2 linked regions of the Oreochromis niloticus genome follow. The protein of the gene in region 1 interacts with the protein of each later gene in a biochemical or structural test. Links are inferred from orthologs where the notes say so. Each region holds a gene or a part of one and is shown in the gene's direction. Other genes may lie near its edges. The genes, in order: rcc1 and ranbp3b.

The links.
Region 2: the proteins of rcc1 (region 1) and ranbp3b form a complex in vitro, tested with the Homo sapiens proteins (2 studies listed by BioGRID). The link is inferred for Oreochromis niloticus from reciprocal best matches to the Homo sapiens genes RCC1 and RANBP3.

What each region holds. Positions count from the first base shown.
Region 1 is NC_031976.2:7,335,260-7,351,095, forward strand, and holds rcc1 (regulator of chromosome condensation), read left to right. Parts: upstream 1-8,752; 5' UTR 8,753-8,890; intron 8,891-10,097; 5' UTR 10,098-10,115; coding exon 10,116-10,194; intron 10,195-10,502; coding exon 10,503-10,690; intron 10,691-10,802; coding exon 10,803-10,982; intron 10,983-11,384; coding exon 11,385-11,481; intron 11,482-11,581; coding exon 11,582-11,704; intron 11,705-11,842; coding exon 11,843-11,983; intron 11,984-12,098; coding exon 12,099-12,218; intron 12,219-12,307; coding exon 12,308-12,472; intron 12,473-14,546; coding exon 14,547-14,722; 3' UTR 14,723-15,340; downstream 15,341-15,836. Other genes in the region: phactr4b (phosphatase and actin regulator 4B), read left to right, coding at 946-1,077, 2,104-2,632, 2,956-3,254, 3,376-3,574, 3,755-3,810, 4,078-4,139, 4,228-4,365, 4,562-4,638 and 1 more. UniProt on the Homo sapiens protein: Guanine-nucleotide releasing factor that promotes the exchange of Ran-bound GDP by GTP, and thereby plays an important role in RAN-mediated functions in nuclear import and mitosis.
Region 2 is NC_031982.2:23,309,439-23,325,453, forward strand, and holds the start of ranbp3b (ran-binding protein 3b), read left to right. Parts: upstream 1-10,031; 5' UTR 10,032-10,158; coding exon 10,159-10,180; intron 10,181-12,052; coding exon 12,053-12,108; intron 12,109-12,427; coding exon 12,428-12,464; intron 12,465-12,556; coding exon 12,557-12,634; intron 12,635-12,747; coding exon 12,748-12,819; intron 12,820-15,448; coding exon 15,449-15,514; intron 15,515-16,015. UniProt on the Homo sapiens protein: Acts as a cofactor for XPO1/CRM1-mediated nuclear export, perhaps as export complex scaffolding protein. Bound to XPO1/CRM1, stabilizes the XPO1/CRM1-cargo interaction. In the absence of Ran-bound GTP prevents binding of XPO1/CRM1 to the nuclear pore complex.

The sequences.
Region 1 (15,836 bases):
ACTGTTCTTTTTCCAGGGTGGAATGATCGTAGAGCGTACATGTGTAATGACTTTAAAAACATTAATTTGGGGCACAAGTTTGGATTTATTCTGGGTTTTCTCCATCCACTCCATCAGAAGTATACATACAGGCTCAAATATATACACTCACCCCCAGTAATGTTTGGATAAATGTTCCTCAGCAAGCTACACCTCAACCAGACACTTTACTTACATAAGATCATGTTATATGGATATGTATATTACTGGACTGAGAAGATACCGACAAACAAAAAACCGACACCTTCAAGCTCGACTGAAATTTTCAGCTGCCTACATGGAAGTAAAAGTTTTGCTGTCAGACAAGACCTAGGAACATTACTGTCAAGCATGGTGTTGGGAGCATCATGCTCTGCGGCTGTTTTGCTGTCAGGGGTACTGATACATCGCACACAGTGGATGGAATAATGAAGAAGAAGGACTACCTCCAAAATCTTCAACTTCACCTCAAATCAGGAGCTAGACGGTTGAAATTCCAACAGGACAATGATCCCAACACACATCAAAACTGGTTTTGGGATGGATAAAGCAGGATAACGTTAAGCTTCTCGAATGGCCTTTCCAAAGACCCGACCTCAGTCAGGAAACTCTATGGACTACACTTAAAAGTCGGATGCGTGACTCTGTGTGGATAAGAGAAAACCCAAACTAATTTCAAGTTTGTGCACCAAATTCTTTTTAAAAAGATTTTTGCTGTACAATCGTTCCACCCTGGAAAAAGAAAAGTTGAAACGGTTCAAAGAAATCATTAAAAGCCCAGAATTACTATGGAATTCATGCCCACGATGAGTTAATGTAAACTTCTGACCACAACCGTAACTATGAAATCAACAACTTACGCAGCACCAGAAAGTAGCTGCATTCATTAAACATGCCAGCTGAAGGCCTCCATCTCGTCCCTGTTAGTCTCCGCCCTGCAGGGGGGAGAAAACGCTCAGCTTCCTCTCTACTGGTCCTGCTGGAAGCGAGAGTGCGACTATGATGTCTACCTGTCCCTGCCTGTCTACCTGTGCCGGCGGGCCGGAGGCCTGCGCTCAGGTAAAAGGATGCCCTCCTGGTATTTCTTTGGCTGCGGTGCCAATTTCTGGAATGCCCTCTTCAGAGTCTGCACACTTCATCATGTCGCATCCTTTCCTGCTGCCAACATATGTCTTCTGAAAAGCCTTTAACTTGTTCACTGGCCTTCATTGCTTTTCTTTGGACCTGGTATATAAGAGCCGCATGCATATAACAAGCTGATAATGAGTGTGCTTACTGTACACAACTTCTGTGTGAGTGCAGTTGAGTGTATTTTGCCTCTGTATAAGGGAGGGCCTTTAGCGGGTTCCAGCTGTGTTCTGCTATGCATCAAATGAATTTTATGTCTCTAATCCACTCAGCTCTCACTCAAATGGGATGGATGGGTGGACTTGAATGGGTCGAAGAATAAAAAGGCAAAATGGTTCTAACATAAGGGCTCGACTTAATATAGAGAGGAAGTCCATTACTGTGTAGATTACTGCATGTTGTAAGTCTGTCAGCACTGTTCACTTATTATGTCTTACGTAGCACGGCTCTGCTTTAACAGAAATGTTGCCTTAAAGCTGTCCTCTGAAGTCTTAAGAGCCAAATAGCAAATATGCAAAAGTGCATGCAAAACTCGAAGGTTTGCATTTGAGCTTTTTGTTTAGGAGCTTCAGGAGCTTTACTACGCTAATAGATAAAGTGTCGGTGTGGGGTTAGAGTCTGGCTGTGAAGAGCATGGATGCATCTTTTTTGTCTCTGTGAACTGGAGCAGTCGCTGCACACTGGTCTTTTAGAGCAAAGTGTGCGTTCATGGCCATCATGTGAACCAACTTGCTGTATGGATGCAGTAATGCTCAGTCAGACATGTAATCCCAGCATTCGTGTGTCTTCTGTCATACTGGGTATGTAATACATGTGTGACTGATGCTTGTGCACTTGCGTCACAGTGACAAACTAGATTCAAAAGTAAAGCACTTGCTAGCAAGTCACTCTCACGCCTAAGCTGTAGCTCTTTTTCTGTAGCAGTTATGGTTGGATTAGCTCTTTTTCCATTTGCAGGTGACTTCACCCAAGCAACAGGGGGCGCTAGCCTTGTCCCGGCCAAACCCTCTCCTCCAATGCCTCCTAAGAGGACCACCCCAGTCACCAAACGCAACACAGAGGACTCTGCTTCAAGCCATCCCATCATCCCCTCACCACTTTCTCTGGAGGAACACAGCAGCCTCCCTGTGGGCTTCCAGCTGCCTCCCCCTCCTCCGTCCCCACCCCTGCCGACTCACATACCACCTTCTCCACCCCGCCAACACATACAGACCCACCACCTCCACCATCAGCACTCCTACCCCCATCCGCTGCCCCAACCCATACCAATGCTTTTCGACCCACCGAGCCCGACCAATGAGTCTCCCCAGCGCCCGGCTCCCGTACCGCTGCACATCATGATCCAGCGAGCCCTGTCCAGTCCCGGCCCGGCTCAGCCACATCCAGATGGGTCGCAGCGGGCGCACACACTGCTTTTCGAAACACCTCTAGAGTACCAAGGAGACCGTGGTCGCCCCCTGCCTGTCAGCATTCAACCACTAAAACTGTAAGTTTCTCTGCACAGAAAAGTCAATTAGTGAATCGGTGTATACAAAGACAGTCTTACATGGTGAAGAAATATGGAGTTTGCATGTGATCTGTCTTTGCATGTAGCTTTGAGGATCTTTTTCATCCATTTTCTAAGCTGTTTACTCTTTGTACTTACCTGTGTATCCATTTCAAGCTGAAAAACAGTCCAGTCTTCATCATTGTAAAGTCAGATATAGCTGGAGGGACATATTTCAGTTAAACTTATTTAAAACACGTCTTCAAAATTAGCCAAATAAAAACAAAAAAATATTTTATATGCATGCATTTTTTTCCTGTTAGATCTGAGGATGACTACTCAGAGGAAGAAGAAGAGGAAGAAGATGACGAGGAAGAGGAGGAGTATGATGGGGAGATTCCACAGCCAGAGCTGGAGCCAAGGAGTCGCCGGTGCTTGGTCGGTGACGCTGGCATTTGTGTCATCCCACGGGGAAACAGCAATGACGAGGACGAGGAAGAAGAGGAGGATGAGGATGAGGAAGGCGAACACGACATGCACGGGGAGGACAGTGATTCAGATGGTCCTGTGCCTCATAAAGATGAAGACTCAGATGAAGATGAGGAGGATGAGCCCCCGATGAGTAAGCATAACAAACTGATTTGGAGGTCATTTAGTGGCTTTTCCGGACTCTTTGTAAACCTGTGCAGCGTTTTGGTGCTCCTTCTCAGCTTACTGCATCTCTCCGCTTGGCTTTTATCCAGGCGCACTGGCCAGCAGGGTGAAGAGAAAGGACACCCTGGCTCTGAAGCTGAGCAGCCGTCCCTCTGCTCCCGACAGGGACAGGTTTACGCAGGAGAGGAGCAGCCGAGATGACCAGCCTCCAGGACAGACTGGCCTCACCTGGCAGAGCAGAGAGCAGTGGGAAGCCATTCGCACACAAATTGGCACTGCACTCACGAGGTAAAGATGAGCAGAATCATTGTATTGTTTAAAATGACAGCAGTGAAAGTGCATTTCCTGAAGAAATTAGACCAATTTTTAATAGATCCTTGACCTGCTTATTACCTGAATGTCCAAGTGAAGTAAATGTGTAAAAATAGGACTCCATTTTTCTTTTTTCTTTTCTTTTTTTTATTTCAGGCGACTAAGCCAGAGACCCACTGCTGAGGAACTTGAGCAAAGAAACATCCTCCAGCGTTAGTATTAACTCTCTCTGTCTTTGTTCATGATCCTTGACTTGTTTGGACTCTTTTGTTTCTGGGTTTTAGCAAAACCACTCCTCATTCTTTCGTCTGATGCTTTTGCCTCAGCATTTGTTAACAAAGTACATTTCACATCTGTTAACAACAAGCACATATCTAATTTTAGAAATTGCTTTTAAACCTGCCATCAAACCAAGCCTTTTATGCCAAAGTCTAAATTTGGCTCTTCTATTCTTTCTCCCATCTTTGTTCTTCCCTCAGCTAAAAATCAGGCTGACAGACAAGCCGAAGTTCGAGAGATCAAGCGACGGCTGACCAGAAAGGTGAAGCAGCACACCTGCAAACATCCCAGTGTTAAACCATTTATTTACCTGATATTAAACTGACATAAAAAAAACCTCTTTATTGTAGCTGAGTCAAAGACCCACGGTTGCAGAACTACAGGCAAGAAAAATCTTGCGATTCCACGAGTATGTGGAAGTCACAGATGCCCAGGACTACGATAGAAGAGCAGACAAGCCGTGGACTAAGCTGACACCTGCTGACAAGGTAATCAGCTCCATATAAAGGCTTTATCGGCACAACCGCTTTCTGATACAGCACTTTACAAAATGTCCAAGACAGTGTTACAAACATTTTAAATGTTAAACACATGCAACTCCTTTAGGTTCATGTAATTTTTTAGCAGTATATTGTCTCGTTTTCTTTCTGAGTTCATGTTTAACCGAATTGCTGTTTTGTCTAGGCGGCCATCCGGAAGGAGCTCAATGATTATAAGAGCACTGAAATGGAGGTTCATGAAGAGAGCAGAATTTACACAAGGTATACCTTTTAGTTGAAACTTGACTGGCTGATTGATTGACTTGGTCAAAACAGTGAGGTACTGTGTTTTGCTGATTTGTTTTTCTACACCACTCTTCATGTTGGTGGGGTATGGAGTCTATCTCAGCTGTCATAGGCCGAGAAACTGGGTACACTCTGGACAGCTCATGAGTCCATCGCAGAGCTAAAGGAGAGACAGATGAACCACTCACACTCACTTTCACATCTACGGCCAATTTAGAATCACCCATTGAGCTCACATGCATGACCTCCCAAAACCTGGGACTGTGGGAGGAAGACGGGTACCTGGAGCACAGGGAAGCCATGCAAACGTCACACAGTTTTGTTTTTGTTGTTATTTATTTCTCCTGTTTGTGTCAGGGAAACAATGAAATATGTAATACACACTTGAGAGTGATGCATCTTTGAACACTTTCTGCCATTTGCAGCCAACCTTGGCGCTCATCCTGAAGACATCTCCCCCCAGCAGCAGGTTTTAGCTAAAGGAGTTTGTTAGCTTGCTACTGTGTCAAGTGTTTATTTCATACTCCCTCAATCATTAAGGACTTACTGTTTAACAGTCTTCAGGATGTCACTTATTTTAGTCTGTAGACGTCGGCTGCCTTGGCTACACATGCACTGTGTGTCTTGTGTTTGCTTTACACTTAAAGCCATCTTTGTTGCTTGCACCTAAACACTTTAAATATGAATTAGCAGCAGTGGTGATTTGCTACTACATTAATAGACTTGTGACAAGTAAACAGAGAGATCCATGTAGAAACTGATTGATTGGTCAGCTTTCTTATGCATGCCTGGTTAAATGGCAGAATCCAGCACTAACAATGAAACCTTGGCAGAAGAAGACTTTTAGAGAAAAATCTGTACCTTAAATAGCGATATAATGAATTTCCCTGCATTAATAGCTTAAGGATTACGAAGGTGTGATCTTGCCTCATGAGAGCTGTTTGTTTTCTTTAGGTTCCATCGGCCTTAACATCCCTGCTTCCGGATAAAGAAGCACTTAAGATCTCCGGCAAAGAAGCAGCTGCTCCCTATGCAGACAGATCGCCCTTTTGCGTCTCTTGAATGTACTGTTATCAGGGAAAGCCTGGAACCGACTCCACACGAGAATGCTTCATGCTTGTCCTCCATCGCCCTCTCACTACATTGCTTTCACTGAACCGAGGTGTTGGTGGGTGGAGACCAGATGCAGTATTTCTCCCAGACGGCAAGGGGGAACCACGTGCCAATAAAGTGGAGAAGTGGCAAAGGACCTACAGGGCTTACTCTCACTCTGCTGTTGTGTGGTGCCCCTCAGGGACTCGGATATAGTTACAACCTTTAATGCGGCCTCGTCCTGTGTTGCCTTTTTCTTTTTCTTCTTTACTGTATATGGAAAAGCTAACTCATCTTCGCTAATGTAATAACGTAGAATAAAAATGGTAACAATAATGATGACCTATAACACTTCACACAGTAATAATAGACACAAACGGTCAGGAGTTGGCTGAAGACTGGGATATTCTGTTTTAGAGCTGGACATCTCTGGGATATCGTGTGTTTTTTATCCACTCTACAGACTGCTGCTGTGATACGTTAGAGTGAAACTGGAAGAGATCTCATTGCAAAATATTGTGTGATGCACAAAATATTTTCTATTACAATTTTGATCACAAGGGTAGTGAGAGCTTTTCTTTGAGCCTTCTTTTTTATTATTATTATTATTATTATTTGGCTTGCCTGTGTTTGTGGTTGTGATGTGTCGGCCTTTTAATAGCTATAGGAAAAGGTCAGGAGGCTGTTGGTGTTTTAATGCGTGCCAACACACCCAATACTGGTTTTCATATCACTGATTTCTGCAATCCACTGCATGAGCCATTACAAAATCCAGTGCCACCGCGTCTGGATAATCTCTCTTCATTTATACTTTTTTCTTTTGTAAGTTTTTGTACTTCCCTTTAAAGATTGAACATGCAATACATTCTGTAGCCATTTTAAATAAGGTCGTTACGATAGTGTCTAAACTAAGAGTTAAATGTAAGTTGCTTCAAGTGTAGATCAGGGATTTATCACAAAAAAGAGAAAAAAAAACACCTGAAAATGTATAATCGGTCAACAGGAACTCAGTTTGGCTGGAACTTTTTGAAACTGCAGAAATGTTTTACCTTGTCTTGTTGTCTGGCCAGTAGCTTACAGGGTTCTCAGTGCTGTGTGTATAAGTTGATATAGGTTTATCTGATGCTTCTGTATATCTTGTCTTCCTTTGATTTGAAAAGAAATTTTAAATATAAAAGTATTATAGGTTGCTATTTTTTTAAGCAGAACATGAGTTTATGATTAAATGCTACAAGAATGGGAATATGAAAGTGCACCTTTCTGTAAATCTGAGTTCATTTTTAATTGAATGTGGAGCTGTATGAGCTGACAGTCTTCTTTTTAATTGTAAATAGTCTGGATCTAATTAAAAATCTTACAATTCCTGGAACCTTCTTGTGAAACAACTCTGCAACTGAGGTCCAGTAGACCTCTCTTACCTAATGACTGTGTTCAGGTGGAGTCTTTTGTCTAAGCTGGAACGTCTAAAGAAAAAGTGGGTTTGCAGCAACACCTGGTGGCGGTTTAAGTTTTTGCACTGTCTTTTGATTTTAAAAAATTAGCTGGTTTAAGGCCCTTTAGTGTAAATTAGAATATATTTTAGGTAATAGGTTATATGTTAGATTATTGGAAAAGGTGACACCATAGGGTGGGGGTGTCATCATTTCCTAATGATAAAATCTCCCATATGGGAGTAATTAAGCCATAGATAATAATCAATAATCAAAAGCTCCTGCTTTTTCATATGGACTATAGAAATTTATTTTTACAATGGGCCCACAGTAAAAATAAGTCAATAATTATAATAGTGAAAAAATAATCTTCTGTGAATTACCAACATCTTTCAATTGTGTAATTACTGAAAAGTCTGGACAGTGAGCTGCAAGAACCTTTTCTGTAATTTTAATTGTTTATTTATTTGTGCTAATAGATTTCTTTCATTTACTACAGCAGTATGTCTTCATCGTGTACAAAAAACCGAGAGGTATAGTTGAAATTGCACTTTTTCATATTAAATGTGTAGCTAAAGGTCTTCACACTGAGAAAATTGAGAGTTTTGCTAGTTTGGCCCACTTAAGTTCAAAGTGAGCTGTATGTGGCTCACTGTGTAAAGTGAGTTTGACATCCTTGCTTTAGGGTGAGGAAGTGGCTATGTTGTAGCATCAGCTAAAGAAAGAAAGAAAAGACTGAAGGTAAAATATGTTCACAGATCTTTAAGGTCTGGGTTGGACAAAAGGAAATCTAGTTACAAAATATACAGATAAGGGACAACCTAAAAAAAGGTTTGTAGGTTACTGATAAATTCTTATCTCTTAATGTCAATTAGAGACATAAAAGCGATACAAGATGGATAAAGGTGAAAATCAAAAGATGCCCACCTCCCCTGTCTTAATATCAGCTGGTCAGCGTTTTTTTTACATTACATACAGCTTCCGTAATTAGTGAATTGTACAAGATAACAGAACTATTAAATATATAAGGTAAAGGTTTTATATTACACATTCAACTTTAGATGAAAATACCACTACTTTTACATTGTTGTAGGGGTTGGTTTTTTTTGTTTTTTGTTTTTTTTGTTAACAATAACTCTGTTACACTGCCCTATTACAGCTATTGACGTGTACCTTTACTTAAATTCTGCACTTTTTGAAGTACTTGAGGTACTGAGGGTGAGATGGAGCCAGATGATCTGCTGTGGCGACCCCTAAAGGAAACAGCCAAAACAAGAAGAAGGAGGAGTAGAAAATACTCTCATATCTTTGGTTATAATAAAAACTGAGTGTTTCACCAGACGTTATTACTTTTACATATATAACTGATCTGTAGCCAGTTTCATTCACCACAGTTACCTGTTCCAGTGCTGTTACTCGGTTCTGAGAAAGGTGATAGGAGTACTTTCTCCAGCACCAAGTATTACTTCATTTACGCAGATAAATGGCTTCGCCTGATGCCCTTTATACTAGATAGATAGATATACATATATACACTTATACACGTGAACCTCTGTCTGTGTCCATCAGCTCCATCCTCCTGTGTTACTGTCTCTTTAAGGAGGCGGGCGTTCCAAAGGTCCTACAGAACGTAACGTTGCACGTCTCGAGACCGGGAACCAGGCTGTGCACGTTCACTTCAAACTGCACTCTTCAATATTTCACAGGTCAGTAAATTATCACCTCCTACACTTTACAGATGGATTAAACAAGTATCGAGAAATACTGCTCCGCTGAATCGCACGCAGTTACATTGTTAAATTATGTTTCTCGGTTTCATTCATTCAATGTCACGCTAACACCCCAGCTAGCATTGGCTAGCATTGGCTAGCAAACAGTTAGCCGGCGTTAGGTTAGGCTGAAAAGCTTTACTTTCAGTGCCGGCCAACTAACTTTGGTTAAGCTGTAACAGCTTATATTTTCTTTCTTGCTTTCTCGCTGCGTTCGTTGCTCGTTGTGACACAAATATTTACAGTCAATCTTTACACCATATACAACTCGTTCAACAGCCAAGTTAACTGAATGTTAGCAAGGGCACATGGGCACTGCCAGCGTTAGATCACGCAGCTTAATTTAAACTGTCCAGCCCTGTAAAGGAGCTGATGGCACTATCCAAGTACTTCCTTATGAAATCCCAGCGTCTGTCGTACGATCTATAGTGGGGACTAAAAGCTGAAACTGACTCTCATTTCAAACTGTACCACGTGTCCTTATTTTGTGGGCAGTGGTCTCTTGTCAGCATGAGAAGCAGGAGTGAAGGAAGCACAGCTGTTTGTGGGGTGAAAGAACCATTGAAATTGGGCTCCGACAGCTGTTGAACCCTAAGAACTGGTGGGCAGACTTATAACAACAATAAAGGCTTTTTGTGTATTATGTCGGTTTGCTGGCTAGTCTGTAGTGCTGTCTAAGAGCCACTGTGGTCTGGACTCTGGTTTGGGGGTGATTGTCGTCTATAAACGCTTTTGTATTTAGAGAGATCATACTAGTGTAGCCTGGTTTTCTCCAGGTTACACTAGTGTTTTGTTATTGTGGTCCACGTTGCTTTTCTGTCTGCAATTAAAATACTCATCATGAGTATCAGTAAGTAATATATATAGAGAGAGATGTATACTTTACTCATCCCCAGGGTAGACATGCAAATAACTTGTAGGTTAAATGTCAGCTGTTCATGTACTTAATTATCTGCCTTGTGTTGTAAATTTGAGACATTTGTGGTATCTAATAACTATCCTGTTTAGCTTTTTTGTTTCTTAATTTTGTGTGGTGTAAGAATTCTAGCATAGTTTAAATTACTTTGTTGTATTGTTTAACTCACATTATCCAGTTAGTTAAGAAACGCACCCAATTTACACACAACCTTATGTTTTCTTAAAGTCCAAAAGTGTTGCTATCATGCCTGCCAAAAAGACGACCACCAAGAGAAAGTCCGCCGCTATTGTGGAAGATGATAAAGACTCCAAAAAGGTGAAAGGTAAGTCACTTCCTTTTTCAAAACAGGGGTTTATAGAGGGGTAACCAGATTCAGTTTGAACAACTGATAGTCCAGCTAAAAAGTGGCATTGCATTTAAACATCTACACCACTTCTATTTGAGTTTGCTGAAGTAATATATTTCTGTTAAGCAAGTATTATGCACATATGTGAAACGAAGGCTTTGGCTCCAAGTGTATCACACTACATTGTCAGTGTTTTTATCCCCCCCCCAATCATTTTCTTGTATTTTCCATCAAACCAATAAAATTCAATGGTCACTATGAAATTGGTTGTATATGTGTTTCAGTTTCACACAGAAGTCATTCCAAAGAGGCAGGGCAAGTTCTTGTTTTGGGCCAAGGTGATGTTGGACAGTTGGGTTTAGGCGAAGATGTCATTGAAAGGAAGAAGCCAGCACTTCTGTCCCTGCCAGAGAAAATTGTGCAGGTGACAGCTGGAGGCATGCACACCGTGTGCCTCAGCGAAACTGGAAATGTAAGCAAACATTTTTCTTATTTCTCACTTTAAAAAAATGTAATGGCAACCTCTTTGTAGTGTTTAACAAAGAGCTTCTTAGTTCCTCATGTAAACTGTTTTCTTTGTTTAGATTTACACGTTTGGCTGTAATGACGAAGGGGCTCTTGGTCGGGACACATCAGAGGAGGGGTCTGAGATGATCCCGGGAAAGGTGACGCTGAATGAGAAGGTGGTCCAGGTATCGGCAGGGGACAGCCACACAGCCGCACTCACAGAGGATGGATCGGTGTACATCTGGGGCTCCTTCAGGGTTAGTGAACTGCTAGTTAGGGAGCAATCTGGTCCTGAGTGCTGTCTCAGCAACTATTTTTATCACCCTTCCATTACTTTCTATGTAATTGTTTTTGTTCTTTGTTACATTTACTATGTCTACAAAAGTTTCAAATCATTTTGCCTTCAACACTATATTATTATCCAAAACCTAAATGTTGTTCCTAAACATTTATTAATGCTGTAAAACAAATTTATAAAAACTATTTTAGTATATTGTAGTATGTATGCAGTGGAATCAGAAAGCATTTAAATTTGATTAATAAAATCATAATCTTCTTGTAATTCTACACAATGTAGGGAAAAGACTTTGAAATTGCAACTGCTTACTTAATGTTTTGACTGTCTAAAATAATGTCTACATATTACCCTCTTTTCTTAGGATAATAATGGAGTCATTGGTCTTCTGGAGCCGATGAAAACGTGTGCTCTACCTGTTAAAGTCCCTTTAACAGAACACGTTGTTAAAATAGTTTCAGGTAAAAAAGAAAAAGTTTTTGTTTAGTGCTTTATGTTACTGTGTGCGCACTATAAATGAGTTCCTAACAGGGATATTTGTGTAACTGATTTCTTTACTAGGTAACGATCACATGGTAATGGTGACGCTGGAAGGAAATCTATACACGTCCGGCTCAGCTGAGCAGGGGCAGCTGGGAAGAGTGCCTGAACACTTTTCAAACAGAGGAGGCAGGAAAGGCCTTGGTAAGTAGCACACACCTTTTCTGTTTTTGGTGGATAAAAAACTGTAGATTTATGTTAATATCTGATTACATAAACATTTCTTTTTTATAGTGTCTTTAATGTAGTATACATCACTCCTGTTTATTTTTATGATCTCAGAGCGGCTGCTGGTTCCACAGATGGTAAAAGTGAAAGGGAAAGTTCACTTCGTTGACGCCTTCTGTGGAGCGTACTTCACCTTTGCTGTGTCAAAAGAAGGCCATGTGTATGGATTTGGCCTCTCAAACTATCACCAGCTGGGTCAGTGTGACTCGTCACTCCTGCGTTATCCTTTGTAAACTCAACTGCCATGTGCTATTTGTGACTGCGACAGATATCATGAAGTGACTGTATCATTTCAAATTATTCTTTTTAGGCACCAAAAGCACCAAGATGTGTTTTGTCCCTGTAAAGCTTACATGTTTCAAGAACTCAACCACCGCCTGGGTAGACTTCTCTGGAGGACAGCATCACACACTTTGCCTTGATGCTGAAGGTAAGCTGACTGTGTGTAATCGCAGGCAGATGTTACACATCATCCTTTAGCACTCGAGTCAGCTGGAAGGTTGGACTCTTGTCTTCCAGGGCAGGTATATAGCCTGGGCAGAGCAGAGTATGGTCGTCTTGGTCTGGGAGAAGGGGCTGAAGAGAAGAGCGAGCCCACACCTGTGATGGGGATAGAGCTGGCTAAAGGAGTGGCATGTGGGGCGTCTGTCAGCTATGCAGTTACCAGAGAAGGTGAGAACCAAGGTAATCAGGGGACGGGAAGAGTAAAACAATTGAGACTGTTTGCAGCCTTTTTTTGTTATTATTTTCTTCTGAAGCATTGAAGTGCAATGAGACACCATACTTTGCCTTAAATCTATCTAGCTTTAAATTTGTCCTACAAACACATGGCCCCTCATTTCCTGTTTGTTTAGACATTGCTGCTGGTGACAGTGAGATAGCAGCAAGTTTAATCCAACTTTAGGCATGAGGAGAAAGTAATGTTGAGTTTATTAGCAGGAGATGACAGTTAATCTTGTTTTGTTGGGATGCTCGAAGCTAGTACAATACGTTAACTACCAACTTACTCTACCAGTCACATCTGCGCACACCTTCTCATTTAATGGTTTTCCTTTATTTTCATGACTACTTATATTGTAGATTCTCACTGAAGGCATGAAAATTGTGAATGAACACACATGGAATTATGTAGTAAACAAAAAAGTTTGAAATAACTCAAAACATGTTTTATATTTGAGATTCTTCAAAATAGCCGCCCTTTGCTTTGATTACTGCTTTGGACACTCTTGGCATTCTCTCGATGAGCTTCATGAGGTAGTCACCTTGAACATTCTCCTTCAACAGTATTGAAGGAGTTCCCAGAGATGCAGAGCAATTGTTGGCTCTTTTGCCTTCACTCTGTGGTCCATTTCATCCCAAACCATCATGATTGGGTTTAGATCATGTGACTGTGGAGGCCAGGCCATGTGGCGCAGCACTCCATCACTCTCCTTCTTGGTCAAATAACGTGGAGATGTATTTTCGGTCATTGTCCTGTTGAGAAATAATTTAGGTCCAACTAATGGCAAACTGGATGGGATGGCATGTCGCTGCAGGATGCTGTGGTAGCCATGCTGGTTCAGTTTTGAATAAATCCCCAACAGTGTCAACAGCAAAGCACCATCACACCATCGTTGGGAACCATGCATGTAGAGACCATACGTTCACCTTTTCTGCATCACACAAAGACATGTGGGTGGAAGCAAAGATCTCAAATTTGGACTCATTAGACCCAAAGCACAGATTTCCACTGGTCTAATGTCCATTCCTTGTGTTGTTGTTTTTCCTTAGTCGTGGTTTCTTAGCAGCTATTTGACCATAAAGGCCTGATTCGTCTCCTCTGAACAGTTGATGTAGAGACGCGTCTGCTACTGGAACTCTGTGTGGCATTTATCTGGGCTCTAATCTGAGATGCTGTTAACTTACGGTTTCTGAGGCTGGTGACTCGGATGAATTTATCCTCAGCAGCAGAGGTGACTCTTGGTCTTCCCTTCCTGGGGTGGTTCTCATATGAGCCAGTTTTGTCATAGTTCTTGATGGTTTTTGCGACTGGACTGGGGGACACATTCAGAGTTTTTGCAATTTTCCGGACTGACTGACCTTTAGTTTTTAAAGTAATGATGGACTGTTGTTTGTCTTTATTTAGCTGATTGGTTCTTGCCATAACATGAATTCTAACAGTTGCCAAATAGGGCTGTCAGCTGTGTACCAACCTGACTCCTGCACAACACAACTGATGGTCCCAGCCCCATTAAGAAAGCAAGACATTTCAGAAATGAACCCTAACAAGGCATAACTGTGAAGTAAAAACCATTTCAGGTGACTACATCATGAAGCTCACTGAGAGAAGGCCAAGAGTTTGCAGCACTGTTAACAAAGCAAAAAGTGGCTACTTCAAAGAATCTGAAATATAAAACATATTTAGAATTATTTATAAATTTTTTTCTTTGCAAAATAATTCTATATATCTTGCCTCATATATTTGATGTCTTCAGTTTGTATCTATAATGTAAAAAGTAGTACAAATAAAGAAAAACATTCAATAATGTGTCCAAACTTATTCTTTAATGGTTAGACAGTTTTTAGATATGGAAAAAAAAGTCTTCAGTAAATGTGTGACTGACTGTCTGACACAAAATTGTGAAGCAGGATTCTTATCAGAGCCATCACTCACAGTGCAACAACTACTAAACTTTCACTCCTGGGTTTTCATACAGTCGACACCCTTAGAGAATAAAAGATTGCTCGCTCTCCTTACTGTTACTTTTTCCTACTCCAGGATCTGTGTATGCCTGGGGCATGGGCACCAACCTGCAGCTTGGCACTGGAGAGGAAGATGATGAGTGGAGTCCTGTGAAGATGACAGGCAAACAGCTGGAGAACCGTGCAGTACTGATGGCCTCCAGTGGAGGGCAGCACACCGTCCTTTTGGTCAAAGACAAGCAGGAGAGCTGATGTCCTGCACTGACAGAGAGTGAAGGGGGCGCTTCAAGGTGGGGCCATGTTCAGGGTGCCTAAATCAGGGGAAGGGGGTGGATGTATGTGACTTCCTATGCTGAGCCAAGGGAGTGTGAGACGTGCATGATAGAGGGGAGAGGTGAGGTTTGTCCTCTTTTATGGAAGCTCCTCTGCTCTTGGCATTGGGGAATGTGTTGTGATGTTTTTGGTAGATCATGACAAATGAAAGACTATTTTTTTTAAAGCTAGTTTTTGACAGTCCTTTAAAGTCTTTTCATCTGGTCATTTGTATGACTCTAAGATGTTATATGTGATGTTTCTGAATTTGACTGTGCATGTACATAAAGGAAATGGCAGTGCAGGATGTTTAAGGACATAAAAATAGTCTTTTTAATGTTTTCTTTAAAGCAATAAGTAGATTAGACCTTTGTCAGACAGGACCTGTACGCCTGGTGAGTTTAACATGTGCGACTACTGTTCGTTATACCCAGTGCACACAAATTTGTTGTAACTGTTTGGACATTTGGTAACACATCATACTGTATCCTGTATTTTGTTGCATTTCCTGTCTGAAAAATAAAGCTGATTTCTTTTTTAAGGAAAATACAAGCCACATTTACTTCATTTCATTTACTGTGTATTAATAAGATGCTGATTACAGCTTTTTGATAGTAAACCCTTGCTGCTTTTCTTTAACTGTAAAAAGAACATTTCTCTGTGTGCGTGTGTGTGTTTGTGCTACTTTTTGCTGCAGAAAAGGCAAATAGAGGCCCACTCACTGAGCTGTTTATTGTTGAATACTCATGCAACACAATGCTGGAAACATTGCTAAGAGATTTTAGTCCATGTTGACATGACGGCATCACACAGTTACTGCAGATTTGTAAATTGTACAGTCATGATGGGAATCTGCCTTTCCAACGCATCCCAAAGTTGCTTTACTGGATTGAGATCTGGTGACTGTGGAGGCCATTCAAGTACAGTGAACTCAAGCAGCCTTCAGCAGATGGATACGCTGTGGTCATAAAAGCATGAGCAGCAAAAATAGTCAGGTAGCCTGTGGGGTTTAAAGCATGTTCATTTGGTATCAAGGGACTGATATATAGTATAA
Region 2 (16,015 bases), on another chromosome or scaffold:
ATTTAAGTACTCTTACAAATACTGCAAAACTTACTGAAACTAATCAGATGCAGTAATAATGTTACTATACTAATAAAATTAAATGATAATAAATAAACCTACAATTAGTAAAGCATCCATGTGAAAACCAAGCGCAATGTCTGTTTGTAAAAACCAATATGATTACTCACCGCCTGTTCTCCAGGTGTAGACTGAAGCTCTAGCGTTGTGTCTATCAACCTGTGCAGGCACAGCACTCTTATAAAGACACTCAGGGGCAGGATCATATTTCCATAACCTTTGTACCAAGACTTTTTTTTAAACTCCTGTTTGATGAATGCCTTTAAGGCGTCAGCCTCAAGTTTCTTGATTGGCATTGCAATTTTATGTTTTGCTGATTTTTTTTTTTAAAAAAATGTAAAAACACTTGAATGAACTTGCAATGATAGAAACTTGACTTTTTGCATTTTCGTGCAAAGGCACGTGTCTGTGAGGGGTCAAGCTGATCAGGTGCAAAGCACACTGTAAAAAGACTGGTTTTGCTTATGAAAGATTGGGCCAATATAAAGATAAAAGGTGAAACAAAGAGTGACATATCCCTTAATACTGATCAAACAGACAGCAGTTAGTTTCCAGTAACTTTTCCTTGGTGGATCCCAGTTTATTTCTCATGCTTTTGACATGCCCTACTTTGGTGCCTTTAAAAAAGTTCACGCATTAGATCATATAATTTTTCAGTCAATCAGTCATTAACAATAAAAAAAAATCCAAGTTAGAGCATGCTTAAATAAATGTTAACACAATAAATGCAAACGTTTGTGCTTATTCTCTTTAAAAGATCCTATTCATTTCACTTAGTTTCGTTTCATTTCTTTCACGTGGCTGTCAGTCAGTGCCACACCTGCCTCACTTGCATTCAAACAGACTGCCGGCGTGTGAAGGGGGAGGTAAACAAATGTTTAGTGTCTACATTATGCTCTATTTATCTGAAATATACATATCTAACTATACAATTTACTCCTATGTTCCTCGAGGCTTTGTAATTGGAGTGTGGCGTACTGTACTCTAAAGGTTTTATGATCCCCTCACACTGACAGTTACATATTGAGAAATACTGTTGAATGGCTGCTGAATGAAGGTGTTAAGTGCACTCTTACTTGCGTAACTTGTTCTCAATTCTTGTCCAAAAAGTTCTGCTGGTTAAATCCTTGTACTTAACAGTATTTAATGACATTAACAGAATAACAGACTTGAACATTGGAACTGTTGTGGTAACCTTTAGGTGAATATCTACAACAATGATCCCTGGGTTTGGGTTCCAATACTAATATTGGAACATTGTAACAGTGGTAACATCTAAACTGTGAATCTTGACTGTTGCTGAGACATACAGGTGGTGAGGTTGAAATTTGGTCTCGACAACATGAATACATGGACCCAACCTGCTAACTAAAAATTCATGACAGTAAAATTAGAAAAAGACTGACCTAGTACGGCTTGTTTGGAAGGGTTGCCGTGAGAAAGTATATTCTCTCTTAAAAGAACAGCTTAGGTTGGCAAAGTTACACCTAAGCAAAAAATAAAACATCTGGAACAATTACACAGATAACAAAAAGTTGAAATGTGTGGCTATAAAGCACAGCATCACATTTGGAGAAAACCAGACACAGCGCAAACATCTCATTCCAACTGTCACGCACGGTGGCAGAGGTTGGAGCTTGTCACAGGATCTCCAACATCTTGCAGTGACTGAGTTGACCATGAACTCATCTTTATACCAAAGTATTCTATAATCAGTGTGAGGTCATCTGGCACGGTCAAAGGTTGGTCATGCGACAGGATGATCCTAAGCACAACAGCAAATCTACAGTAGAATCACTGAAAAAGAAATAAATCAAGGTGTTGCAACGGCCCGGTCAAAGTCCAGACCTCAAATTGTTTGAAATGTAATGGTGGTGGGAAATTGAGAGAGCTGTGCATAGATGAATCCCTGCAAACCTCAATGAACTGAAGCAACCAAAATTCCCCTACAACCATGAGAGATCGATGAATCTTACAGAAAACAGTTACTTCAATCCATTGCTGCCCAAGGTAATGAATGATGGGTTCTACTTAGTTTTTCCACACACTCATTCTGACTTATTTTGATTTTGTTTCTGTTAAATAAATAATGGCACAGTGTAACATGTTGTGTTGTAGTTCATCTGAGGGGGTTTTTTTTAAATCATGAACTGATACATAAAACTTTAGAATTGCATGATACTTTCTTTTTACCATCACCCTCAAGTTTGGTAGATATTAAAATGATTATCAATTATAACCCTAATAAATATGGTTATTATATATTATAAAACATACAGACAGCACAAATTCACACACATTAGTATAAAAACACGATCATACAAGCAAAACTGACGTTTCTCAATATACACACAGCACTGCTTATAGTATACCATATATATCATATTTTACATTTAATTTATTGATAAAACCCTATTTCTAGATGTTTTTAAAAATCCACTATTGCCATCAAAAGAAAAGAACAAAATCTACAAGTTGGCCACCACATGCAAGAGAAAATTAAATAGGTATAATTAAGTAATGAGGTTAAATAAACAAAGTACCTACTCTCCACTGAGCAGGAGCAGACTATGACCGATCTTTTTCTAGCCGCTCTTGCATAATTGCTGATTGTATCAAACTGCAAAATCAGAGCAGTGGCTGCTGCAGCAATAATAGTCAAATATCTGACTAATAAGACATTTCTGTTTATGCCAAAATAAATTACCCTTTAAACAACAAAATAAGGATTTAGTTGAATATTAAAATTCCAAAACAGAAAACCATTCCTATCTCTTGAGTCTTTTCTTTTTTTGGAAACTGACAATTGTGTAATTTGATAAGATCTTTCTGACACGCTAACAGCATATTTACTACATACCAACATAAGATTTTCCTTTAGATCTCTTGATAAATTCATCTTAAAGCCTCATTTGACTGAATCACTCTCAGACTCTGTAATCTTTTCATCTGATAACATAAATCTTCACACCTCCACCTATATTTTAAGAGCACACAGTAAATGTATGGTGTTTTTTTCTATAACAAAAGAAACATTTTGATGTCTATCACAGAATAAAGATGAAAGGTTTGTTGTTGTTCATTTACTCTTAAATGTGTGGAAATTCCCTGCAGGTGTTATGCAAAGTTTTATCGGACCATAAAGGCTTTATATCAGCATAGTTCACAAGGCCTGACGGAAATATGAGAACTACATTTTGACCCTTGGAACCTACCCTACCAAAAAGGGGACATAAAAAAAGACAACAAGTCTTTGTATTTTAAAGTCATGAGTGCAGGTTTATATAACATTAATGTTGCCCAACCTTACATGATAATAATAATTGCCTTTTAGGCTCAGATATTGACTTCAGAACCAATATTAGTCTGATATGTGCGGTGTAGTGAATACATGTTAGCGCAACATTAAAAGCTTGTTTACATTCTTCAGTATTCTCAGAAAACCTGACTTTAATGTGGGAAACTTGAGCTTCAAGAGTACATCGGGATGTACATGCATCTTCCCTACAGTCGTATTAAGTTCTGACAGATGATAAACTTTGCATTAAAGATACTTGTCAGAATCCATCTATGCATATCCACCCATGTTAATTCCTGACAAGAGGCTCCTGCGGCACATTTAAAAGGATTCTTTTTGAACGCCCTGTGACAGGTACTAATGAGCCTCAAGCGGCTAAGTGGACATCTGATAGCACTCTTCGTTGTGAAGCGTGCCACTGACCTGTCCCTTTCTTTTTCTTTTGTGCCTGCAGGATACTTGTGCTCACTTCAGTTATTTACTGCTCCCACATGCAACCTGCATGTGTCGTAAAGAGAGAATCTGCATTTGATGCCACCCAGGCTCTAAAGAAGTTTACATACGTTCAGATTGCTCTGATTAAATTGTCTCTTTTTTTTTGGAGGGGCAATTCTGGTCTTGCAGTGAATATTTCATGTTAGATGTGCGGGTTTGATCACAGTACAATTCAACTGAACATTCATTGGCAAACCAATGAGTAACTTCTAAGAAAAAAAAAGGTTGTTGGCTGTGCCGAGCTCTATTCCTGTATGTGACTGCATATTTGAAAAATCCTGATGGATTAATGGTATTGAGTATTTGTCAGAAGATGATGGTCTGCTGCCAAAGGTACTTGGACTCTGTCTGTGCAAAGATGCACAGTGCTGTCTTCAGCATTCCCGTCAGATAATGTGATATGTTGTTTTATCCCTTCATTATCGCTGTCATTTAACATCTCCAAGAACACATTTATTATTGTTTGAGAAACTTTACTTTGGCACACAGTACAAAAAAAAACGAAGAAGAAGAAGCAGCAGTATAGATGAGGACAGGGCTTTTTACTCGCTGCAGACCGAATAATGATACTGATTTAATATTTACTTCTCTTGCAACGATCCATTTGTAAACTGCAGTGTACCAAAAAAAGGAAAAATGAAAGCAAACACATGGGAAAGCTATCCAAAACAAGTTAGCTTCTACTATTTCTTTTTCAGTTTTATTATTATTGCTTTATTTTGAAGCAAAGGTCAAGGAGTTGCAAATCCGTTCTTTCTTTCCTTCCTTCCTTCCGCCCGCCCTTCCTTTCTTTTGGAAGCATGCCCGTGAGGAGCAAACATTAAATGCTTTCAAAATTCATTTGACGTTTAAATTTTAAACTGTTTTCTGGAAGGAAAAATCACCGGGTCAACATGATCAAAAGGTTCTTTAATCTCAGGGGCATTGATTTGTGCCGCCAACGTCACTATGATTCGGCCTTTTTGCTTTTCATGTCAACATTAAATCAACATAGAAATCAGGAAATGAATACAACAAACAGGCGTAGGTTTACTATGATCTTACTGGCCTCTGCAATAACAAGTCTTTTTTATTGTCTTCTGATGTTAGGTTAGGACATCAGACCTTTAGTAGCCAGTTGCAAGTGCAATAATGAGATTTTATATATTCATAAACATATATAAACATACAAAAAGCCACCTCTAGAGATGCAACACTTTCCCAGAAGTTCTGGGAACCTTAATGGCCCATTTCACAGAACATTTATTGCAGTATCAAAATAAAACCTGGTTATGATGGCAGAACTGACAAAAACCACAGTGGCAGACAGATCTATGTGTGCATGTTATGTAGTAACGTGGATAGTAAGATTAGGTGGATGCATATTGGCTTTTTGTCCGGGAGACCGGAGCTCCTGTCCTGTCCCAGACCTGTAATTTATTCCATCCATATATCAGCGATGTACTTCAGTGAGGGTTGCGGGGGCTTGGATTCTGTTTGAGCTATGACTGTGAGACTGAGAGGCAAGACACAGGTCACCAGTCAATCACAGAGCTGACTCTAATGATAGATGAGTAATTTTACACCTGCAGGCACTTAGAGTTGTCTGTCAGAGTCTGGAAAAAACGTATTTCAGTCTCAGGGAGAAAATGAGAACACTTGGAGAACACTTCAAACACATTTGGAACACTAGAAAACCCAAAACAAATTACCAAATATGCACATTTTTTGCGGGATTCGAGTTGAAATGAAAGACAACACTACTAAACTTTATGGACCAAAGACTATGGCACATTACAGCTGTAGGCCATGGACCATGGAAAACCATAGGATGAAGCTCCCAGTGCACTGGATTTGTGCTGATGTTAACGCCAGAGGAGCTTTGAAACTTCTAAGCAATATACGCCTCATCACTCATCAAGCTCACTCTGTAACTTTACGGTGCTGTGGTTGCTAAACATTTCCACTTTGCAATAATACCACTGACAATCAATTGTCAAGTATCTTGGAGGGAATCCTGCAGCATTACTATGGTTGAGCTGTTTAGAATGACTCATTCTTTTACAAATGTTTGTAAAGCCAGGCTGCATGGCTGGGCGCTTTTATATGCATGTGCCAATGGGACGGAAAACAGCTGAATTCAAAGACTAAGACATGTGGCTCAATACTTTTGTCCATATAATGTGGCTACTTTGAGTATTTTGGGAGTTTTTTATTTTCCCCTAGCAGTTTTATTTTATTCTAGTGTATTACGCAATCAGCTCTGCCCTCCAAATGACAACTGAACAAATAACATGGTTTTGGATTTTGTGGAAGAAAGTTACATAACCATAATTACCCCCTGTTTTTGTAGGGGACTCCCCCAGAGTTTCATCTTTAGGTATTAGTTACAAAACTCTGGAAAATGAGAAGCCTGTTATGTAAAAAGTATTGTAAATCTTGGACTACTTCAAAGTAGATGTTATCATTACACAGGTATTACACATATCAGGAAGGCAGAAAGTCAGGTTTTGCACCACGCATGGATTCTGACTGAAAGACTACTTTTTACCCTCCTGATAATGATACAAGATCTGCCATGACGGGTTTTGACTCGTTATGATAGAAACCCCATCGAATGAATTAGAGTTCGGTGAACGCTAAAGTGCCAGTTTGCTATTCGTATGCGGGGGAGTGGATCCCAACTTTTGAGTGAGGGGTGTTTGTTGCCCGTAGACGCAAACACAGTGATGCACAGTGGACATTCGCTACACCAGTGGATAAGTACAAAAGAGAAACTGATATGACCCAAAGCAGAAGCCAAGCTCGTCTGATGGATGACAGCCCTCAGCAGCGAACAGTATAAACACATGCAGTGGCTTGTTTGAGGGGAGCCTGAGGGGAAATCTCAAGCATGATTATTTCTGAAAACTTTTGGTCAACTCAGGCAAACTCTTATGAAATGTCCTCTTTTCAGTGTTCCTTAACCACATTTGAGCAAAGAAGGCAAAGATCTGGTTTGTATTCATGTCTGTGTTGTATTTAACTATTGTTTTATGCCTAACTTACATTTCTTAATCTAGTTCATAACTAAGCAGGCGGCTCTGCCTGATATGCAGGGAAAGACCATTTATTAGAAGATGAAAAGCAGGGGTACTTACCATTATCACCAAATAATGAATCACTTAATACCAATATTCCCAGATTACAACATTTCTAATCGTAACAGGATGATTACCCTGTTATCTTCAGGAAGAATGTTGTATTACGATAAAAGATCGTCCGTGAAGTTCAACAAGTGCTATGGGAAACGCAATTTCAAGTTGGCTCAAGTTACAAACGGCTCTTGAAAGCTGATGAACATATAGCTGCTAACAAAGGCCTTTTAAAAGAAGGCTAAAATTATTAACATTTTATTATTAGAAAGACTTTCAAATATTTTCAATTTAATTAAACATTCTAACCATAAAAAACATAGTGTCACAGCTTTGCCCTCACTGTCTGAGCATGCACTGTGTTATGTGTATTTTATGATATTTTCTGAATGTTTAAGCTCTAAGAGTGATTCTTGAGCCACTACAACCACATCAACACTTGTAGCCAAACTAAATGTGCACATGTATATTCTCAGCGTTACACTTTTTTAAAGAAATTTTAACACAGTTGTCTGTCAAACATGCAAAGAAAAAAGAGAAAAGAAAACATTTCGATGCTTTACATTTCACTCCAGGCACTTTCCAAACTGCCAAACTCAACACCACAAAGACTACGGCCTGAAGGGTGTACTAGAAAGTGAGATTAATGGCCTACTAAGCTATGTTGGGCTTAAAGTTGGAGTTTCTATGTCACAGAAGTGCTTGCGATAAATTACCATGGTAACTTATGCCGAACACATCACCTGGTCAGGTGCAGGTTATGTTTCCCAGTGTTAATTTAAAATCTGATGGAAGCACCATAATTTGAATGATTCTTTTATTTACAGCATGCAGTATATAGATTTTCTGCTGGAATACATTTTATATGTGCAAGAAAACCACACAATAAAGTGCAAACTGAAGGTTGCATACTTGAGTCTAATCTACAGCTAAGTCTCTTTCACACTGCTTGAATTGCAGCTAATAGAACACAGAACACACACCAACAATACCGCTTCAGTCAGTGAAATTAATTTCCAATTGACTGGCCCACAAACCACAGCTCTAAAGTGTCTAATGTGTAGCCACACCTTAATCACTTAACCACCATTTATCTTCATGATCCTCTGATAATGTCTCTGATTGGAATAGGCGTCATTCACAGGGATCATTTAGCATAGAGGAGTCACGACCTGTGAAATGTCCCATTATATGTGACCACGCATACAACTTGAAGCAGAAAACCCGGCTTAACAGAGAATATTGACAACCCCTATAATTATACTTGATAAATCCAGGTGGGGCTTTAGGTTTTATCGAGCCGGCCAAGGCAAATAAGATGCACAAATAAGCTCAGAACCTGCTTTCGTTCTTTCTTGTTATATATAGCACAAATCTTTTCGTTTTCAACCGCTGTGGTTTTATTGTTTTGAAACTCCTTCAGGAAACAAAGGAAATACCTTCCGCCCATATTTTTCATGATACTGTATCCAGAATAAACATATGTAGTTTACACATTTGGATATCTGTGTGAATGCTTGCTTACTATATGCACGCCAAAATTCCACAAAGAATTTGCAAAAAGTACAAAACGCAAAAAGCAAAGCCCCACAAGTCAATAATTTCATTTATACTGTCACTGCAGAGTTGATACTTCATGCACTTGTGCAGTTTATGCTTTGTGTTTACCTCATGCCTTGGAGAATATTTATATATTTATTTATTGGTTTTTACGAAAAAATAAAAATTGCTTTTGTAGTTGGTGTTGTAAAATTTTGTAGTTGGTGTTGTAAAGTTGTCTGTAGTTTCAAAGCTTGTCCCGAAGCCATCAGGAAAAAATGTGGACACTGCTTACCTGTAACAGATTTGCTCAGCTGCAGTAACAGTTTGCCCTCTAGTGGAAGCAAAGTGGAACTGCACTGACAGGACACTGGAAAAAGACATTTAACGTTATTGCGCATTTCTGTGCAAAACACAAAGCTGTGAAAATCTTCTGACAGCTGAAAAAAACTGAGAAAATGGGCAGAATTCAAATTCATCCTTAGGAAAGGATTTAATCATGGCCTAATCACTCCTATAATAATGCACTTCATGTAAATAATGTGAGCCATTATCACACAGTGTTTTGGTTACAGGCCTGGTAAATTCCAAGTGCTACATCAGCACAGAGATTGCTTAAATGTTATTTATCTATTTGTTTGTCATCTTGGTATTGCTCATTTGAGTTATTCTTTACCACTCACGATTTTTTTTGTACTTAGGCGTGACGTTTATGGCGTTATCTCTGTACTGCTCTAGCACTTGAAATTTCATTGCTGTGGGACTAATAAAAGAGTCTTATCTTAAACTTATGCTATCTTAAAGAATGCCGTTTTTGCGTGCATGTGTGTGTATGTGTGTCTATCAAAGCCAATTTGCACTGCAGTAAAGTCAGTGGTGTTGTCATGTTTGTACACGGCACTGTAAATGTGGCCTTTACAAACAACACCAATGCGTAAACCCCAGGAGAAAAAAAAGGGCAATAGATTCAAAACAACAGGGCTTTTTACTATGAGGTGACCTTGCATAAACCATGTGTATAAATGTAAGCACTGTGATTACAGGACAGGCATCATTTGGAAACAGGAAATATGAACGACGCCTTGGTTGTTTACCTTTACTTTACTGGGAATCTGGTTAAATAACCACCACCTAGAAAAAGGAAGAACTGCAGCTGAAATGTGAAAGACAAATAAACAAGTACGCAAACGTTTCAAGAAAGACGCCGCTTATAAACTCACCACTAACACTGGCTGTGGTGATGCCTTTGTGACGTGCTCGGAGACTGTATTTTTGTTTTTCCGCTAAACCACTGTTTTCTAGGTTAACAAACCTGAGCCATTCATGTCATCATCTGGTGTTTATGTACAGCTTTATCGTAGTTAATAATACCTTAAAGTCTGTGTTGGTACACAGGGGCCTGGGAAAGCTGTAATAGTGGGTTAGGCGACCCAGGCAAACTTCAAGCTCTTCCTTTGGGCTAGCTGAATTATAAATAAGGACATAAACACATCGATAAGCATGGACATATACTAGATTTTTGGTTTACTAAAAGAGTGGTGGCGAGGGCAGGGGTCGCTGGCTGCATTTGCAAACGGGTGTCTGTGAGCACATTGCTGCCTTGACTTGTGTTATCTGCGCGGTGGGTTGTGGGTGTGTGAGCGTCGAAGTAAAATGGCGGACTTGGCAAACGAAGGTGAGTAAGTGGCAGAATGAGAAAAACAATACAGCTACTGTGGCCATGTAAAGCGTGTCTGTTCACTGTTTGCATATTGGATAGCTGAAATAAAGCAACTGTGGCACACGTAAATGGCGACTTCAGGCGGATTAATAACGTCGCGGCGTATATAAGGTTACAGCGTTAGCAAACAGGCTAACAATGCTAACGCTGGGCTGTGGGTAATACCTGGAATGTCTCGGAACGCCCTCCAGTTCTGCCTGTCAGTTAGCCGGTTTACCTCCTAACGCTAGCACCCGGCTATTTATAGTCGGCGTGTGTGTATTTGTTGCCATTTGTGGTGAGCTAAACGATCTAAGGTGGTTATAAACACCAAACTTGGCTAAGCTAAAGTTGAAAAGCACAGCTTGTAACGAAGCTAAAGTGTAAGAACAACAGTGATTGGAAACAGTGTCCGTGTTTATTTCATGTTGTTAGCGTTACGTTGTAGCTTTGCTTAACGTTCATTTAGGCGCGTAGAGGAAAAATGTCAGCCAGTCAGACAATGCTTCGGTTTAGCCTCTGCTTGTCTGCGCGTTTTCTTATTCCATTAAAATCAGCTTGTCATCATGTTGGGCTTTTAATATGGGAGGATAAACTGAGAACTGTAGTGACATTGTTTGTCAGGCGAGATGACTCATGCTGGTTGGAGCGCATTAGCAGGCTAACTATAGCCATCGAGCTAAACCTCCCTCGGCTTTAAGGAACAAGCAGTGGCGCCGACTATTTACTGAAAAGGGTCAGATGGGTATATATGCTAACTGGTTATCATAAGCAAGGAACGCATTGGGGCTACTTGTATCTCAGAGGTGAATAGAAGTGTTGCATGCCGGAAATCCTATATTCATTGGACAAGTTAGCTGATTGTGAGACAGACAGCAGATACAAAGGTGGGGGTAAAATGTAGGTCACACAACATTTTCTTTAGTTTCACACAAACGATCAGCATAAGCCATGCGGAGCGTGTGTCAAAGCGGTGATTGTCGCTTCAGGAAACAATCGTGGCTATGTGCTGCCGGCTTTTTGGCTGATATCGCATGCATGCATGTTTTGCGCAGCTACAGCGATGCTACACCTGTTCAGTGTACAGGCCTGACCCAGACAGAGGAAAACCTTTGTCTGCTAACGTTATAGGATTACACATCTTACACCAGGGTACAGTGTGAACATAGAGTCGTTAAGTGGCTTGAGCTGACATCAAGTTATCGCCTAGCCTGGCTTTAGCTATTCTTGTTATGTTATGATCATAGATTATGGAGGCAAGAAAATACCGGTGGAAGGCTTCATAATTTCTCATTTAGTTATTTATTTATTTAAAATTACACAGTCTCTGTCTAGTTTGTCTATTCTGCAATACGCGTATTTGCATATCTTACATTTGATCACGTTATTTAGTTTATTGTGGATTGTTCACTTTAGTTAAACTTAATGTGATTTAATTGTTCCAGGAACTTCTAATAGGATTGTATGGTTAAGTTTAGTGTACTCGGTTTGATGACATGATTTCGCCTGGCTGGTTGACACAGATAGAAATCAGATTGTTGATAAGCTGCATTTTTGCAGGTCATCTTTTTAAGTTTCTTACATTTAAATTAGTTGTGAACAGTTGTTTAACTCACTGGAATCTTTACCATAGCAATTTTTGAAAAGTTAGACTTTTTATTTTTAATCAGCAGTACAGTCTATAAAATTGAAGATGTCCAAATACACTTAAAATGTTCAGGTACACAGAAGACGTAAGCCACAGCATAGGGTCTTTTGAGCCACAGTCATGTGAAGAATCAGACAGACAGTACTGCTGCACACCATAAGTTAGTGTTTAGATGACTAGCCTACATCTTTTCTTAACAGACAAGCCTGCCATAGCGCCCCCTGTGTTTGTTTTCCATAAAGATAAACCACAGAAGGTAAGTTTCTGTTTTGTTTTGTTTTTTCTTTATTTATAAGGGCTAAAATTGCCTTTTTGAGTTTGCCGATGTTATTTATGCCAACATTTAGTCAAGCTGAGTTTCTGAAAAGCACACATCCCAGAAAAGTTCTTGGATTAAAATTTTTCACTGTTAGCAGAATTTCCTGCAAAATCAACGCACATCTTCCTTGCTAGTTTGTTTCTAATTTAATTAAGTCAAAGTTTCATGAATTTAAGAAAGCTACCTAGGATTTATATGAGTAATGGTGCTCCTTTGGTATAAATAAAACCCCCAAACTTTTTGCACTTCCTTGCAGAGATCTGCTGAGGGCTCAAGTGCAGAGGATGGAGAAGGTAAATGAAGTATCCAAATTGGCCACTTTGTTTGTCCATGTTATCTTTGTGTTTAAACTGACATACAGTCATTATCATTTCACTTCTTTCAGATTCAGATAAAGATGAGGGAAGCTATACTCCCCCTGTGAAAAGGGAAAGGACCTCATCATTCCCACCCCCACATTCTGGTAAGGGCACGTGATGACTAAGCAAAGCAGAGCGTTTAGTTAATGTTGCTTTTTGCCTGTGGTGTACACATTGATTTGTATGCTGATTGCAGTGTCTGTCTGTTACTTTGCAGTTCCTAAGAACAATGTATTCATGCCCTCAAGTTTCTGCCAGTCTCCGACTGGGAACTCTGACTCCGAGCCAGGTGAGCAATCTAGACCACTATTAGTTTTCCTTTCACAGCTTAAAGGGCCCCTGTGGTAAAAATCTCAGTATTAAAAACCAAACACATCGACAATTTAAGGCAGTTGGCACAAGATGCTCACTAAAACTGGTAAATAGTAGCTTTTGGTGACTTAAAGATTTTAAGTCACAGATCATTTTGGTAATTCTAAAAGTGCCACAAACTCTTAACTCTCACCAGTTCTAGTTGACTCTAATTTAGCTATTTCACTCTGATTTTGTCCATTAGGTTTTGACTGCTGTCCTTTCAGAGTCTTTACTGCATAAACATAAACTGAAAGCTAATTTTTATAAATGTAGGATTAGTATTTACTTTGCAACTTTTTGTATTATTCAAAACATTTCTGCATCTTGTTTTTGTTTGGTTTAAATTTAAGTCTTTGTATTTAGTCTGTTTTGAGATTTCAGTTCTCCTTGCTCATTTCTCATTTGGCTCTCACTGCTCCAAAGATCTGTCAGTTTGTGTCATGTGTTGCACAAAGACCGTTCAGTATACCAAGCAGGGAGAAGTCTTTTTCTGTATCTTGTAATTCTCCGCCCTCTCAAAACCTTCAGTAATACAGAGAATTCGTTTTTCTTATAAGAAAAGAACAATATGGCCTTGAGTCGCTTGTGATCCTGCCTCCATATAATATAGCTCTGAACTGCCAGATTCAACTGGAAAACAAATTTATGATGCTTGAATTTGAAAAAGGCAGAGTTGAGGTTGACATTAGTAAATCCATAGGGTTTGTGTTTTATGATTTCCTAGTGTCATGTGGTGATAGCTGACAGCAATTTTCCTAGTGCCACTGCTACAGAGGACTAGCTTATTAGGTATTAAAAGCTAGTTTATTTAGCGCTGTCTTAGGTGTCTATGGTGTCTTTCTATGAATACAGTATGTCTTGGATATAATAGCTGTTCCCACATTAGAGCCTTCTTTGTAACTGAAGTATTTCTTTCTTTGCAAATTTATAAAATATAACCTGAAATTCTAAATAAGCTGGTAGGGTAGGGTTAGGGTAAGTTGGGTTTTAAACTTTAAAGGTTTGCGCTTCATGACCTTGCTTGTGCAAGCTCCTGGCCAGGGTTAGAGGTGTGTTTCTGTCAAACTAAAATTTGTTCTTTTTTTTTAATGTTGTTTATGCCCCTTGCAGTTAATGTATCTGTTGTTCATTTGCACAGGAAATCTACAAGGCTAAAAAAGTAGTAGTTGACATAACATTAGGCTAATGGGAACAAAAACATATGCATATTTTTTAAATAAGAAATTAAACAGTAACTGTGAGGAGAGGAAGTTGGGGCGAAGCTGGATTAACAACATTGTTTATCAGTAGCATATCTCTAACACGAAGCTTGTAAATAATTATCTTGTGGTAACTTTGCTTTGCACTTAGCAGCACTTGTCTGTGTCTGCTTTTCCTGCCAGTTACTCCAAAGCATAATATTTATAGGAAGTCTGACTAGTAAATTTGTTGTATCACTTTAGATGTTAAATTTAAATGATTTTGTTTAATGTGTGCAGCTCAGCTTAATCAGTCATTTGCTGAGTAGCCGTTCATACTTTAATTTGTTGAATCACTTTCATCAAGGTCATATTACACTGGTAAGACGAGTCGAAATGGGGGAAAATATCATTATGAAAAATACTGACTAGTTAATAGAGATATGAAATTATTATTGCAGAAGCACTTTAAGGGAGAATAAGGAAGTATGATTTTTATGGATTTTTCTTTTAATCCCATCTCTTGTCAAAGATAAACGTGACCCAATCATTTATTTATTTATTTATTTTTTTGCTTTAATGGGTTGAGCTCAATTGAAAAGTGACATAGAGGTTTAAATCACTAGTCAACAGATTTACGGAGACTACTTCCACTTGAGCAAACAAACAGGCTGTAGTTAATAACTGCCTGAAGCATGTTACATAATGTGTGTATTTGAAAGTAAAAAGAGTGATGAACAGACCAAAAAATGTTGTTAATAGAGATGCAGAACTACACTATGTGCTGGAAGTTTGGTTATTTTAGTTGCATTTAAAATGTTTATAGTGCTTCTATTGCTTCTGTGGTTGTTTTCTTCATTGTTTGCGTGCATGTCCTGAGAGTTGGTGGTTAGTAAAAGTGTTGAAAGATATTCATGTTCATTTATATTTAATTATGCAAATACTTCTTATAATTAGATTGAATATGTTTTTCTTTAGCATATGTGCAATCTAAGCTTCACACACTAGTTGGTTTAAAATTGCCTGATTTACTAGGCTTAACATTTATGCACACTGGAATGGTCTCCTAAACGCTGAGGACAAACAGGATGTGGCTTTTCGCATGTGCTTTTGGGTTTCTGTTCTAGTGCTGATTACTTAATGGCATCCCAATAAAGCCACTGAGATGAAGAGACGGAGGTAGAAATAGATCAAAGGCCCTAGAGCCCGCCATGTTACCGAGATTCCAACACAACTCTTAAGGCCGTACGAGGGTTGCTGTGGTAACTGGCTCTGTGGTTACAAAATTTGCAAAGACAGAAGAGCATGCTCACATTAGGTTGTTGTGCAATACCTGAATATGTTTTTTTTTTAACTTTTGCTTCTTTTTATGGTTTGTTCCACTAGAGGAGAAGCCTGTGGGGTTCCGTTTAAAACCACCGACTCTCATACATGGACAGGCACCAAGTTCAGGTAGATGTTTAAAAATTTTTGTGTTATTTATACTATGGTTTTTTTAATATACCTGACCACAAAAATCTGGCAAGTAGCTTTTGTAGTTGGTTCAGTTTTTCTGTTTATTTGCAGTATAATACAAAAGCTGTTGCTGGATTTGCATGAAATGTTTTTGCATTAGGTGTTACTTGGTCCACACATACAAAATATTTGGAAAAGGTTTCTACTATTTTAGATGGAGCAAAATTGCATCATATCTTCACAACTACTTTAGATTTGTTACTGAAATAAGAAAAACTGGCAGATATCATCAGATATCGTCATGAGGCTCAAAAAAATATCACAAACCCATCTAGATGTAAACTCATTGTTGATCCAGACACTCAGTTCATGCACAGGGTGGAGGGAATTTTCATACTTGGCAGATATTTACTCAGACCGATCCTGTTCATTATGCATTATCATTTATTATTCAGGCTTTATCTGATGAGGACATTTAATCTTAATTATCAGCACTGA